Danio rerio: one gene and its partners. The protein of the gene in region 1 purifies or fractionates together with the protein of each later gene. This does not show direct contact. Links are inferred from orthologs where the notes say so. Each region holds a gene or a part of one and is shown on either strand. Other genes may lie near its edges.

The links.
Region 2: the proteins of wdr5 (region 1) and mgaa purify together in Homo sapiens (affinity purification with mass spectrometry; 5 studies listed by BioGRID and IntAct, counting the BioPlex papers as one, with this or other methods). This does not show direct contact. The link is inferred for Danio rerio from reciprocal best matches to the Homo sapiens genes WDR5 and MGA.
Region 3: the proteins of wdr5 (region 1) and ruvbl2 purify together in Homo sapiens (affinity purification with mass spectrometry; 3 studies listed by BioGRID and IntAct, with this or other methods). This does not show direct contact. The link is inferred for Danio rerio from reciprocal best matches to the Homo sapiens genes WDR5 and RUVBL2.
Region 4: the proteins of wdr5 (region 1) and rerea purify together in Homo sapiens (affinity purification with mass spectrometry; 5 studies listed by BioGRID and IntAct, counting the BioPlex papers as one, with this or other methods). This does not show direct contact. The link is inferred for Danio rerio from reciprocal best matches to the Homo sapiens genes WDR5 and RERE.

Annotation. Positions count from the first base shown.
Region 1 is NC_133196.1:19,684,607-19,688,238, forward strand, and holds part of wdr5 (WD repeat-containing protein 5), read left to right. Parts: intron 1-3,051; coding exon 3,052-3,125; intron 3,126-3,375; coding exon 3,376-3,465; intron 3,466-3,625; coding exon 3,626-3,632.
Region 2 is NC_133192.1:11,779,167-11,781,968, reverse strand, and holds the end of mgaa (MAX dimerization protein MGA a), read right to left. Parts: coding exon 1,958-2,802; 3' UTR 575-1,957; downstream 1-574. UniProt on the Homo sapiens protein: Functions as a dual-specificity transcription factor, regulating the expression of both MAX-network and T-box family target genes. Functions as a repressor or an activator.
Region 3 is NC_133180.1:31,383,150-31,386,781, reverse strand, and holds part of ruvbl2 (ruvB-like 2), read right to left. Parts: intron 2,508-3,632; coding exon 2,389-2,507; intron 2,251-2,388; coding exon 2,131-2,250; intron 2,049-2,130; coding exon 1,919-2,048; intron 1,807-1,918; coding exon 1,692-1,806; exon of another isoform or gene 1,007-1,691; intron 1-1,006. UniProt on the Homo sapiens protein: Possesses single-stranded DNA-stimulated ATPase and ATP-dependent DNA helicase (5' to 3') activity; hexamerization is thought to be critical for ATP hydrolysis and adjacent subunits in the ring-like structure contribute to the ATPase activity.
Region 4 is NC_133198.1:25,758,209-25,761,840, reverse strand, and holds part of rerea (arginine-glutamic acid dipeptide repeats protein), read right to left. Parts: intron 3,206-3,632; 5' UTR 3,062-3,205; coding exon 2,740-3,061; intron 1-2,739. UniProt on the Homo sapiens protein: Plays a role as a transcriptional repressor during development. May play a role in the control of cell survival. Overexpression of RERE recruits BAX to the nucleus particularly to POD and triggers caspase-3 activation, leading to cell death.

The sequences.
Region 1 (3,632 bases):
GCAGTCGCTCATACACTGTGTATTACGGTAACAGGGAAGATGACGAGGTCACTCTCTACATTGAAACCGATGTCATAGAAAAATGTAATTGATGTTCTTGGCTTGGTGAAAGATGAACAAACAATCCTACCCAAAACATGCTAAATTTGCCAGATCAGTAGTACTTTGCATCCCGGCTTTGCATTCCAATTTCTAAGTGTCTTACAGCCTACGTTTGTTATGAATAAATTAGGTTAAAACGCATATAAAAGACACATTCATGAAAAAAGCCAAAAGAGCTTTGTGCATGTGCACGTGAATAATGTAGGGCTATAAACAAGTTTGAGCTTTTAAAAAGCTGTCAATCAAAATGTACCTCTTAGGCTCGGGTCGAATTCAGTCAGGCTCAGGCTCTATCGGGCCTAACTTTTATGGCCCGATTACAGCTCTATCACTCCTGTCAGCCAAGAACTAGAAAACTTAGGCAACAATTGGCACAAGCTCACCAAAATTTGATAATAGAAGATTAGAAAATCGTTGCCTGCTCTGACAAATCTCTATTTCTGCTGCAACATGCAGGCCCCGTTTACACTAATGCGTTTTAGTTTGAAAACGCAAAAGTTTTGCTACGGTTACGCCATCCCTCCACACTACGCCAGAGTTCTCGAGCGCCGAAAACGGAGCTTTTTGAAAAAGCTGGAAAGGCCGTTTTCATTCTAAAACGCTGCTGCTCCGTCTCAGTGTGGATGGGTAAAGACGGAGACATCTGAAAACGGAGGCGGGGCTGCAAACGTTCGCCTATCTGATTGGGGCTTTTCCTCAATATTAAGTAGCCCACGCACAGTTCAGTCTCGCATCCTCTTCTTGTAAGTTAAGACTTCGCAAGTTTGATCAAGGCTGCAGTCTCCCCCTTTTCAGTTTGATATGGAAAACATACCGAGGACACGGGTAAATCTTCAAAGGGAACAGTGTACTTTATAACTTTATTCACATCACCTTGGCTACGTTGTTTCACTTTCTCAACAATAAAATGTAATCATTATTTAAGGAACTGCCTATTTTCTTTTTAATATTAGCAACTTAACTGACAGCAGAAATGTTGAGGCGCCGTGCTGCATATATGGGCGTCATCTTCACTGTGTGGATATTTATAACAAAACGGAGCCTATAACAACTGCCTCCTTTCAATTTCAGTGAAAATACGAAACGCACCCTCTCTTTTGCTGAATATCAGTTTTAATAATTGATAATTATAAAAGTATAACATACAATAAGTTTATACATTGTAGGAAATAAAGGCAAGCGATCAGTCAATGTACCTGGATTAATCATTAACTTATCTTTGCGCTTAACCAAAACATGTTACCCGTGAACAAGTAACTTAATAGATTCCAATGACCAAAGTCAGGGAATTGGCCTATGTCGTTAGATAAAGACAACAACATGAATGAAATATCACGTTTAGCAAATATAGTGGGATTAGATCCAGCGGGAGATGCTTGATGAGCAGTCCGACAAGCAGAGCTCTCATCTGGGTAGAAATGCTGGAGCGCTTGCCCGAGAGTGTCTGTGTGATCACGTGATGTGCGTTTTCAACGTTTTGGTGTGGACGGAGAGCTGTTCAGAAACGCTGGGTAAAACGCGAGTGTGGACGCGGATCGTTTTCATTCTACAACGCCGTTTTAAAACTAAAACGCACTAGTGTAAACGGGGCCTCAGATGGTAGGGTCAGAATTTGGCGTAAACAACACAAAAGCATGGATCCATCCTGTCTTGTATCAATGGATCAGGCTGGTGGTGGTAGTGTATCGATTTGAGGGATTTTTTTCTTTGCACACTTTGGGTCCATTAGTATCCAATTGAGTATTGTGTCTGCCACATCCTACCTGAGTACTGTTACTGACCATGTCCATCCATTTATGACCACAGTGTACCCATCTTCTGGTGGCTACTTCCATCAGGATAACGCGCCATGTCATAAAGCCAAAAAATATCTAAAACCGATTTCTTGAACATGACAATGAGTTCACTGCACTTAAATGGCCTCCACAGTCACCAGAACTTAATCCAATGAAGCACTTTTGGGATGTGGTGGAACGGGAGATTCGCATCATGGATATGCAGCAAACAAATCTGCAGCAACTGCACGATGCCATCATGTCATTATGGACTGAAATCTCAGAGGGATATTTCCATTACCTTGTTGAATCTATGCCGTGAAGGATTAAGGCTGTTCTACAGGCAAAAGGGGGGTCCAACCCGGTACTAGTAAGGTGTACCTAATAAAGTGGCCAGTTAGTGTAAGTACACGCATACGTTTTTATTGATTACATATAATGCAATCTTTTTTTTTTTTTTTTTTCAACTGATTTTTTTTTAAATCACAGTATTGGGCTTCAAAACAGAAAATGAAAAGTGTCACATTTTTATACATCTGTTATTTAAGACTTTTAAGTCTAAAAAGTCAAATAAAACATTGTTTTCAAAGTCAAATTGTCCTTTCATCAGTCTGTGAGATTTCCAGTATACAATATTATTGTATACTGGGTTTAGTTAACTTAATGCTAGTTGCTTTTTATTTTTTTATTTATGTACATTTTACCTGCGTATTTTACTTGCTTCTATGTGAATTAATGTCTGTCGTTTTGCAATTGTTATTAAACATACTCATTGCAATATTTCAGTTCTAAACTATGAAGATTTGCACCACTCCCATTAATTCACTGCAGAAACTGAAAGTTTAAATGGATGGTGCCTTCATGCCTCTGTTGCTGCATTGTCGATGCATATTCGACCGTGAGAGCTGAATGCACTTATGAGTCATTCACCCTGATATCATCTCAGACTATAAGCACACAGCTTTTCAGAGAATACACAGAATGTTACAGCATTGCAATCTTTTTCAGTGGGATAATCAGACCAAGTCATTTTAAAATTTTATTTTTATTTTGATTGCAGCTTTAAACGTTTATTTAATTAATTATTACACTTGAACTACCCTCAAGGAAGTCCTAGTGTCTTGTGAACAACACAAAGTCATGATGTAATTTTTTTTTTCTCTCTCTCGTCCAGCTGCTGATAAGCTGATCAAAATATGGGGTGCATATGATGGCAAGTTTGAGAAGACGATATCTGGACACAAACTTGTGAGTTCCTTGTATGTTTTGTTGGTATTTCTGTCATCATTGTTTCACTTCTATAGTGTTATCTTCATTTGCTTTTAGTTGTTAGCCTTATTTTATTTTCAGTTGAACTTTGTCTGTACAGCACTTTGGATTCAGTTATAGTGTTGAAAGTGTTCTATAAATAAAGTTGAGTTCCCCAAAAGATCTGGCTTCTCTGTAATGTTTTACTGTACCAGATTGCTGTTGTGAACTGGATTTCTTTCTCCTGCAGGGCATCTCAGATGTAGCCTGGTCTTCAGACTCCAACCTCCTGGTCTCAGCTTCTGATGACAAGACTTTGAAGATCTGGGATGTGAGCTCTGTAAGTTAAGGCAAAACTGAACATTCGAAAGAAAAATGTAAAACCTAAACTGATGAAAGCAAGCAGAGTGAGCATACTGATGCTATTTGCATTCTGTTAGAGTTATTTTCTCGTAGGTCAGTATAATTTTATCATCAGTTTTTGTTTTTGTCATCACCAGGGGAAGT
Region 2 (2,802 bases), on another chromosome or scaffold:
AAGGAAGGGCCAGATCATTGGAGTAGGTGCAGTTCTTTGCCCAAGCCCAAGAAATGTTGTTTACTGCCGACATGTCTTCGGCTCGGTCTATATCATTTGTAAATTTAAAAAAAGGTAAAGTTAGATATCTACCTCTTGTAAATAATTCATCATTTTGGTTTCGATGAAGTCAACAGAGTTTCAGGATCATTTAACATAAAGCCAATGATGCAATAAACAATAGACGTACCTTACCTTGAGAAATCTGAAAGAGGTTTGGGTACACCTGATTGTCGACTGCTTTATATCAACTCTGATTCTTCTTGGAAGTACATACGTATTCTCTTTGGGGAGTTGGTTGCAAGGTAATGACCATCAGTTGATAATTAGCCATTTGTGAAATTCTCTGATGTCTGTATCCGATTTAAAATGACTTCTGAATCTTTAAGGTATTTATTAATGTCTGAACTATTTGTAAAGCTATCCTAAAAGTAACATATACCCAAGTACAATGTAGAGATATGCTTTTTATTTAAGATTAAAACCATTTGTAACCTAAAAAACAGAAGCATTAATGTAGATGCGAGAAAAACTATATTTTCACAGACTTTATTGACATATCCATTGCTTTTACAAAGGTGAGAGAGCACTGATTAATAGCATATAAAAATAAGTATTTTAACAGACAGTTTTCAGACTAACAAAAGGAATAATTTTACATATTTACAACATTCAAGAAGAGTTCCCTTGCCAATATACAGGGTTTTACCAAGCTAACTTATTTACAAAATATAACAGTTTAGCATTAAATATGCAGGAAAGACCATAGCATCTTGTTTTAATGAAATTATGCAGTGTTGTTTTCGATATCTGTCTTGTCTGAATCTAAAGCAAAACAGTTGCATAGTGAGAACTTTATATATATATTCAAGCTTAAAATGAGGAATCTAACCGTCTCGCTGGTAGTGTTACACTTAAATGTTAAAACCCTTTGAAACGTGTAATTTATTCTAAAGAGGAGAAGGGTGAAGCAAGAACAGGTTTTCACATCTAAAACGTTCAAATGCCAGAAACACTCAAACCTTCCTGATTTCTTTTTAAAGCAAACAAAAAGACAAAATAATTAAAACAGCAGTAGTAACACCTCAAAAACCGCAGCAAATACTAAAGCTGATATAAAGTTTTTCTTGTATTCCTATGTTCTCATTACTATTCCTGGTATACTAATACAATAAAACCTTTCTATGGTCCAATATGCATACAGAAGAACCTTTTGAAAGGCACTCAACATAAAATATAAACTTTTAATGTATATACCCAACTTCTGAAAGAATAGTATGTTGTTCCAGAAAGGTTTAACAGGTATTATTGCCTTAACATGCATTCAATGGGCTTAACAGACAGTGATGTTTTAGCTAGATGTAAAGACAATGGCATTTGAGTAATCTCATTAGCAGATAAAGTCACGGGTGAAACCACTTTACTAATAAAAGTCACTGGGTAAATTTAATTATTCCTAAAAAGGTCACCCGGAAAAAACGCCCTCCTACTCCAGCGGAAACAACTGTTATCCGTTCACCTTGATGGCGCTAAGGGAGTAACAATCTTATGTTTAAAGATCAAGTAACTTTTTATTTTTAATGAGCTCCAGTGGGAAATAAACAACAAGCTCCAATATGGAGGGTAGAATGAGTTAACGGCTTCTTTCGACTATCGCCACAAAGAGTGGATATACAAGAGGACAATTCAATTGACGTCTTGCCGGTCAAGTATGTTGAGAATAAACAAAAAAATAACGCCAAAATTATAAAGTAAAACTGACTAAACGTCTTTGGATATCCCAGAGGCACAATATGTGGTGCCCATGGCAGCACGTCTTACACAGCAAACAAAAAAAATAAATACATATAAAAACACATCCTATTTTGTACATTAAACAACATGAGCAGCAGCTGTACCTGATTCAATGATTGGTAGATCACATTTGTGGTGTATCTTGCTCACTTGAGTCCAGATTGGGGATTGAGGGATTGATTACCTTACCAGCATCTTGAGCCTTCAACCCTAGAGGAACCAGTTTAGGCATAGGCCGCCATGTCACACTGGTTCCCTCATTGGCAGATTGGCCTGATGCAGCTTCATATGCAGCTTTCATGTGCAACAGAGGTGGGGGAGTAAGTCCATCACCTGTAGCATTGCATGTTGATGCATGTGGGCTTGAAGCATTTGTTGACTGTGCAACCCCGGATTCAGATGAAACCGAAGGGGAATCTGACCCAAAGATAACTTTGACCAGGTCATCCACTTTGGGTGGGATATCGATTTCATCTTTAGAGTCTGGGGACATCAGATCTTCATCTAGAGTTAAGAACAAAGGACTTAGAGCTCGGTCGTCTGCCGGTTCTTGATCTTCCGGTTTGTCAGAACAAGACTGTACATCACCTGGCACGGCAATTCTCTCATCTTCATCCTCATTAGTCAACTGTTGGCTAAGAAGAACAAGTTCATCCAGCAAAGACAGTAAATTTTCATCCTCAGGATCATCGCTGTCATCGGGACTCTTATTCTCCGGCACTTCTGGGTTGGACTTGGGTACAGATGCACCTTTCTGATCTTCTACGACTGATTGTTTGGGTACATTCGTGGATGGAGCCTCATCAGTCTTTTGCTCCAAATCTGGAATTTTGTCATTGGAAGAATTCTGCTGATTGTCCACAGATGTTGGCTGTGCTTGGAAAACAGGTTTATCTTCCACAACTTTCCGTGGTACTACTAGATTCTCCGCCAGAGAAATAACATTGCTGATATTTGGAAGGCTTGCAG
Region 3 (3,632 bases), on another chromosome or scaffold:
GGATTAAGTTATTTTCTGTGGTGACAGAATAAAGCACAAGATGTGAGATGAGACCTTTGTGAGCCTGGATTGATTTGTTTTTGATGTTACACTCCAGTTGGGAAATCATTGCTGTATTTTTTTTAAATCAATGCGTTACAGGACGTCTTTCATGCATATGGGGAATATGCCTGTGTAAGTAACATGAATCGTTCACATATCTTTTGCGACTTTATTGTCCGAGTTGTAAAACGCATAGCAAAGCTGCCTATAGAGAGAAACTCTGCCGTCTCCCACAGATAGACGCAGGTGCTGGCCAAGAGTGCGTGTATGTGTATGTGTGTGTGTGCGTTTACAGCCGTTTGATAAATATGGATTTGTAACGTTAGCTAAGTCGTTAGCGGTTACCATAATTTCCCGTTGTTTACATCTTTGCTACAACACACCGTTAAAGTTAGACACTGTACATGTCATGATCAATTTTAACAAATAAAAACACTTACAGGTCATGACTCAGAGTTCACAGCGTCTCCTTGCTCCATCTTTGAGGAGATTTTAACTGAATCCAGCACTGAACTGGGAGAGATTCTGGAAGCTGTGTTTTGTCAAATCATGCTTGCTATGTATTTTATAGTTCTCTGGAACATAATTAATATTGAACTGTAAGCACTTCTGTGTTTGGGTCGTGTCATTTGGAAGCCCAACAACAGAAACAGAACAGCTCTGTGGAAACAGCAGGATGGCATTTCTCTCTCTGCAGTAACGTTACAGCGCCTCTGGCCACGGCCTTTACCTGCGCAGTGTGGGATGCGCAATAACGAACTTTTGTGATCTCACAGGGGGCGGAAGTATTTTTTGTAGTCCCCAAAATTCGTTAATTGTAGGCGTTGCTAAGCTAACTCTGTACAAATCAAGGTCTCCCTTTGCATTAAACTTTGAATATTTTACATTCAGAGATGCTGTTTATGTTCACACAGCTACATTACACATCAACTGAAGTTTAAAATATAATATCGTAGTGGACCACCCCTTTAATAGCCTAACAATAAGTAGGGTAGCCTAATGTAGATTGCATCCAATATTTTTTTCCCTTTGGCAAGATTTACATTTAAGGCTCAGATTAATGACAACATATGTAAACTGCTTTTTAATTTATTAAAAATATTTTCCCCACTCCTGCAAAACACTTGCGCTGTTTGAATGCACATAGATCTGCCCCTTTCCTGTCATATATTACACATGCGCACTTCATTGCGCTAATGCAGTTCATGGTGCTTACATGCCTTATGGCATCAATCTAGTTGCATGAATAGATTTATTCTTAAGTCAATTGTTAAGATCTTACGCCAGTAAAGAAAAACAAGTTAACATATTTAATCATTGATCACATATGTGGTCTGCTTATTAATTATAATCGGGTTAAGAACATAAATGTAAATTGTCACTAAGAGTTTTTGAGGCTCCACAAATAAAAACAGCTCCAAAAGAAAGTAAGCTCAGTAGTAGAATGCCATAACTACCACAAACAGTATACAGACAGTATACAAAAACTCTTATAGAAATGATTTACCAATCAAATTGTAACACTTTTGGTACAGCGTCAAAATAGCACTAAAGCATGTGCTTGCTGGAGAGAACAGTTTTTGTAAAGATAGCTCTTTGCTGCAAGATCTCCAGAAATCTAGGTTATGTAAAGTAGAGAAGAATCTTACGTGTTTCATTGAAGAGGAAGGAGTCCTGATACTCTTTCATGTACTGTGAGGACCTGGCCTCATCCAGGAAGAGAGAATAAACCCTTTTAATGTCCTCCACTTGGACTTCTGTGCCCTGTGAGAAATGTACGATCACAATCAGAACACACACAAAAAAAACGCTTGTTTCCAGTATTATTATTTTTTGTAGCACAACCATAATGTGCATGTGTGTGTGTTGACATTACCCTGCGTTTACGGCACACCAGGCCTGCAGTACTGATGAGCTGGATGGCGTAGCGGAGTGAAGTCTCCTGTCCGATACGTGTTAAAACTGTATGTGCCTCTTCACTGAGCTCAACATCCTCCTCCTCACAGCTAAAGCACAGGTGTGTATAGCAAGAAATGAGGCAAAACTCGAAATTCACAGATTTGATATGATACATGAACGTACTCTCACCGAATCTTTAGGATCTGTCTGGTCTCTTTCTCTGTGTAAGGAGTAGTAGCGATGATAAGCAGACGGTCCAGCATGTCTATGGGAATACCATGAGGACTCTGGTAATTGGTGCCTCTAATTCTGTTAAAAGGAAACGACAGTGGATGAGGACAAATGACCCACTTTATTATCATCGACTATATTATTATTGACTACTATATACTAATATATAACCCATATTATTATCATCTGGCAGTTGTTGTTGTTTTTGTGTTATACCGAGTGATGCCTCTGTTGGTAGCCATGATGAGTACAGGAGAAAGATCACTCTCTAGGGCTCGGTTCAGGAATGAAAAGCATTCTATGTCCAGCATGTGGACCTCGTCTATGAAAAGAACCTGCAAGCACAAAAATGCTCAACAAAGGCAGTTTTAAAGCAGCCATAAATCATATTTATTGATTAATGCTCCTTTTAACTAATTTCGAAAGCATTAACATAAACACAGAAACAACCCACATGAAGCATTTCTTGTCAGTGACACAAAATAAAATAAAAATTCATAGTGTTTAAATTCTTGTGTCATTATAGCATAAGTAAAGCTTTTTTATTTTATTTTTTTAATAAAATTTTTCAACAGAACAACAGTGGTACTTGTATCTCGTAACAAGTACAGACAGACAGTTTTTGTTAGACATTAAAATGCATACAAATAAAAGACATTAAAATTTGTTAGACATTAAAATGCATACAAATAAAATAAAAAAATAAAAGGAAATTATAAACTAAATTTAGAAAGACATAGTCACTGAATGCCCTCAAGAAAAATCTAGAGGGAGGACCAAATGCACCAGAAGTCCTGAGTAGGTTAATTTTTCCAGTGGTAAAATTGTGATCACTCAGCCACATATTGACTGAAGGTATCCGAGCAGTTGACCATAATTTTATTGACAATAAAATCTAACATTGCAATATTTTTTTATTCTGCGATATAGTAGTGTGTGATTGAATACAATTTCACTGGACTATTAGGAAAGAATTTGAAATTTTAGATTGATTGGGATGAATCTGTAGGGGAGTGCATGCATAAAATAAGAAATAACCATAGAACAATTCAATAAAAAAAAGATAAGAACAGCATTTAATTGTTTTTCGAGGAGTCAAAATGTATTCAGGTATACAGTAATTGAATAGTCAAAAGTAAAATAATTCTGCATAGTCTTCTTTTTATAAACAAATCAATAGAATTTATCGCTATTCATTTAATTTAAAGTTAAAAACAGTACAATTTCTTACGTCCAAATGCTTTTTAAAACCCTCAATATAATGATAAATTATAATCCAGACCCAACATTGCGTATACTCGTTATGTGACGATTGCGAATTTTCACATTACGATATCTATGCTCAAACGATATATTGTGCAGCCCTAAATAATAGTACTGAAACAATTTCTTTACTCACGATCAAGACACAGTTCCACTGTACAATTCAGAAGGTGTACCTTTGGGGAAGTTATGTTTTT
Region 4 (3,632 bases), on another chromosome or scaffold:
GTCCAAAGTATACTACATTAACATGCATGCTGTTGAAAGCCCAGCCTTCCAAAGTATACTCTATTTGAAAGCTTGCATGAACACCGGCACTTGACACATGCACGCTACAACGATTTATTCTTGCCTTTTGTCTGTGCATTTTTAAAATGAGCAATAAAGATGCTTTTAAATTAATTTAAATGGGGTTAAATCCTTTCACGCTAGCGCTCATCAATGCTGATACCTTTTGTTTTTACAGTGGTTAGACTGTTGTCTAGTGGTTGTTGAAGGGCTGCATGATATTGAAAAAATCTAACATTTAGGTTTTTTTATTCTGCGATATATATTTCGATATTAATACAATTTCACTAGATGAGTTGGATAACTATTTAAAAAAAATTCATCATTTTAGACAGATTGGAATGACAAGCGTAGATAAATTCGAAAAAAAAAAAGATAAAAATGATATAAACAGCATTTTATTGTTTTACGATGAGTCTATCTGAATTCAGAAGTATAATTAAATAATCAAATGTAAAATAATACTGCAGAGTCTATGTTTGAAAAATTAATAACAACTGAATTATCTAAATTACAAAGGGTACAATTTCTTAGCCCTGAATGCTTTTAAAACCCACAGTCACAGGCCCCAAAAAACATTTGTGAAATGATGTTTATAATCCAGACTCAACACTGTGTATCCTCGTGATGTGACTATTGCGAATGATCACATAGCAATATCGATGCAGAAACAATATATTGTACAGCCCTAGTTTGTTGATCTATCACCCTTATTTTTCTGTAAAACAACAGATCGGCTTAGAATTGACACCTCGAGGGTAAACCAAGTAGTACAAAACAGTTAACTGTATGTGCTAATATATGGGGTGTAATAAAACAGAATGTGCATTGCTAATGTAAACAATATGATTCGAGATATTGAGCTAATTTTACCCAAGAGTCAGCTTACTGTATTTAATGATATCCAAATTCAACCAAAAATGTACATTTCATCATGCACTGCATTGACTAATGATGACTTATGACTGAAATCACATATAAGCTGAAGCACTTGGGTTTGTTGGATGGTCAAGCCTAACTCAGGGAGCATGCTCAGAACCGTTTGCCTAGGTTGTGAATAACAGATAATAGAGTTGTAAATAATGTTCAGTTTGTTGCACAGAATGATCGTTTTGCTTCATAAGACCTTAGTGCATCCTCTAATGCCAAACAGGTAGTAATTATGATTTGCCAAATATGTGTTTTTGTGGCACTCAGCAAATTGAAAGTGTGTGGATCATTTAAATTACCATATAGCATTTTAGATGTATGATAACTCCACGGATTTTAGATGATGTACTCTTTCATAGCTAACACTGAGAGAGTTGTACGTGCTGCTTTCTGTAGATTTGGTGAACGCCTGTATTGACAGCATGTGTGTGTGTTCTGAGTGAGAACAAATGTTTACAGAGTGTCAGCATCAGTATAAGTACTGTAGACTATATAACGTTGAAAATGATGCAACAGGGAATCTGATAATGACAAATGTCTGACTTTACCAGTGAAAATGGTCTATCTATATATAGTCAATGACAGAATACAAGCATATTAGAGGTGTGGCGAGATCTCGCGTTACAAGATCTTGTGAGATTAAATAGTGACAAGAATTCTCGTTGAGGTGAAAAGTTGTCTCGTGAGTTGACAATAGCATGTCATTGACTGCATGGAACTCATTAAAATAGAAGTAAAATACATTTTATTACACGTTTATTTAAAAAACACCTAAAAAGTTTTTGTATTTTGTGATTTTTTTATTCAGTTGAATTATACATTATATTTACCATTCATATATTTCATTGAGGATTTCTTAAAAATAGTATAAAAATCTTGTTCTCGTGAACCAATCTTGAGTCTCATCTTGTGGAATAAGCGACTTGTCACACCCCTAAACCATATGTGTCTTGCATAATTAAGAATTAACCTTCAGACTTATGAATAGTTGTACTGTGATGTCATCAGTCTTGCGCAATGAGGACCAGGATCAATTTACAATCTATTCCAGACCATCACCCCAAGTCTAAACAAAATATAGCATTTTAACCAACAGCAGACTTACATGATATGTATTTTTTATACCATGTCACCATATGCAAATTACACTTTTAACATGCATTTTCAAGATGTCATATTATGAGTTCGAGATGTGTGTCAAATTACAACTTCGTTACACCCCTAGAATGTACAGCTAAAAAAATGTGTGTATAAAGGTTTTGTTCATTTTGTTTCTACAAGCACAGTACTGGAGTTACTAAACTAATGTCTACTTGTTTCATGTTCTCGTCAAATCTGCCACACATTGTCATATGCACCTCAAAAACAAGCACAACAGAGACGTCAACACTTAATCGACCATCAATAGTATACTGATTTAAAGGATAATGATCAATTAATCAATCATCAATTTAACAGTAGCATACCCAACATATTCTATAGGGTCCATACACTGTGAAAAGTGTTTAGTTTACTGTGAAAAAAGTGAGTAAGCTCAGCATACTTAGCATTACGTTCATTTACTTAATGCTAAGGTGATATGTACGTAATTCTCAAACCATTAAGTTAAATACAACATAATTACCAACATTAAGTAAAATCAACTTGCCACTTTTGAAGCAAGGGATTTTTTAATCATTTTTTATAGTGTATTAAAGTAAACTTTGATATCCAGACATACTAAATAAAGATTATACAAGCATAACTCACCACCAGGTCTGTAAACAATGTCGTCCTCCGTAATGAAGGAAGTGATCTCGCCGTTCTCCGTCCGCTCATAGCGTGACTTCTTCTTGGGCAGCTTCTTCTTGCTCTTTTTAGTGGCCTCCTCGGCGGTGGCGGCCCCGGGTGTCTCGTTGTCATCATCCTCACTGTGTTCGCTTTCTGCATAGTTCTTAGCGCCGCCTTCCAGCGTGCAACTGCGCCTGGGCCGTGAGCTCTCACTTTCCCGTGTTTTGTCCCGCTTCTCACGGTCTCTGTCCCGGTCCCGGTCGCGCTCCCTCTCTTTGTCTTTCTCTTTGTCGGCAGTCATGATTCGCCACGTGCCTTCTTCTGTCCTCTCACGGCTGGGCCTCCGTGAAAGGTAGACTGTGAGCCTGGGCTTCAGTCTTCTGAATTTACCAATCAAATCCAGGGAAAATTTGGCCACACCAACAACCCCAGTGTTTCAGAAGAGCTAAAGGGAGAACAGAAAATAATGGCATTTTAGATGGGTCAATGACGTGACCTATTCATTAACAGAGATTAGTTTCACCTTCCCTGACACAGTAAGACATATATGTATCTTTCTATGTATCTATCTATGAATCCATCTATCTAACCATAATTTTTACCTTTTTAAATGGAGTTTAACTTGAAACTAAATGAATATATGGCAATACCCCAAAAATGTAAAAATAATAATAATAATAATAATAATAATAATAATAATAAAATACCACAATATTTTTTCCACATAATCTTTGTGATGTTGGTTTTACTTTTTTGCAAGTATACTGAGCAGTACAGCCAAACTGATTACCTTTTTTTAAAAATAAAAACAAATGCAGTGGGCATAGATGAAAAACCCTGTCAATTTGTTTGATAAAGATAAAACAGAACAA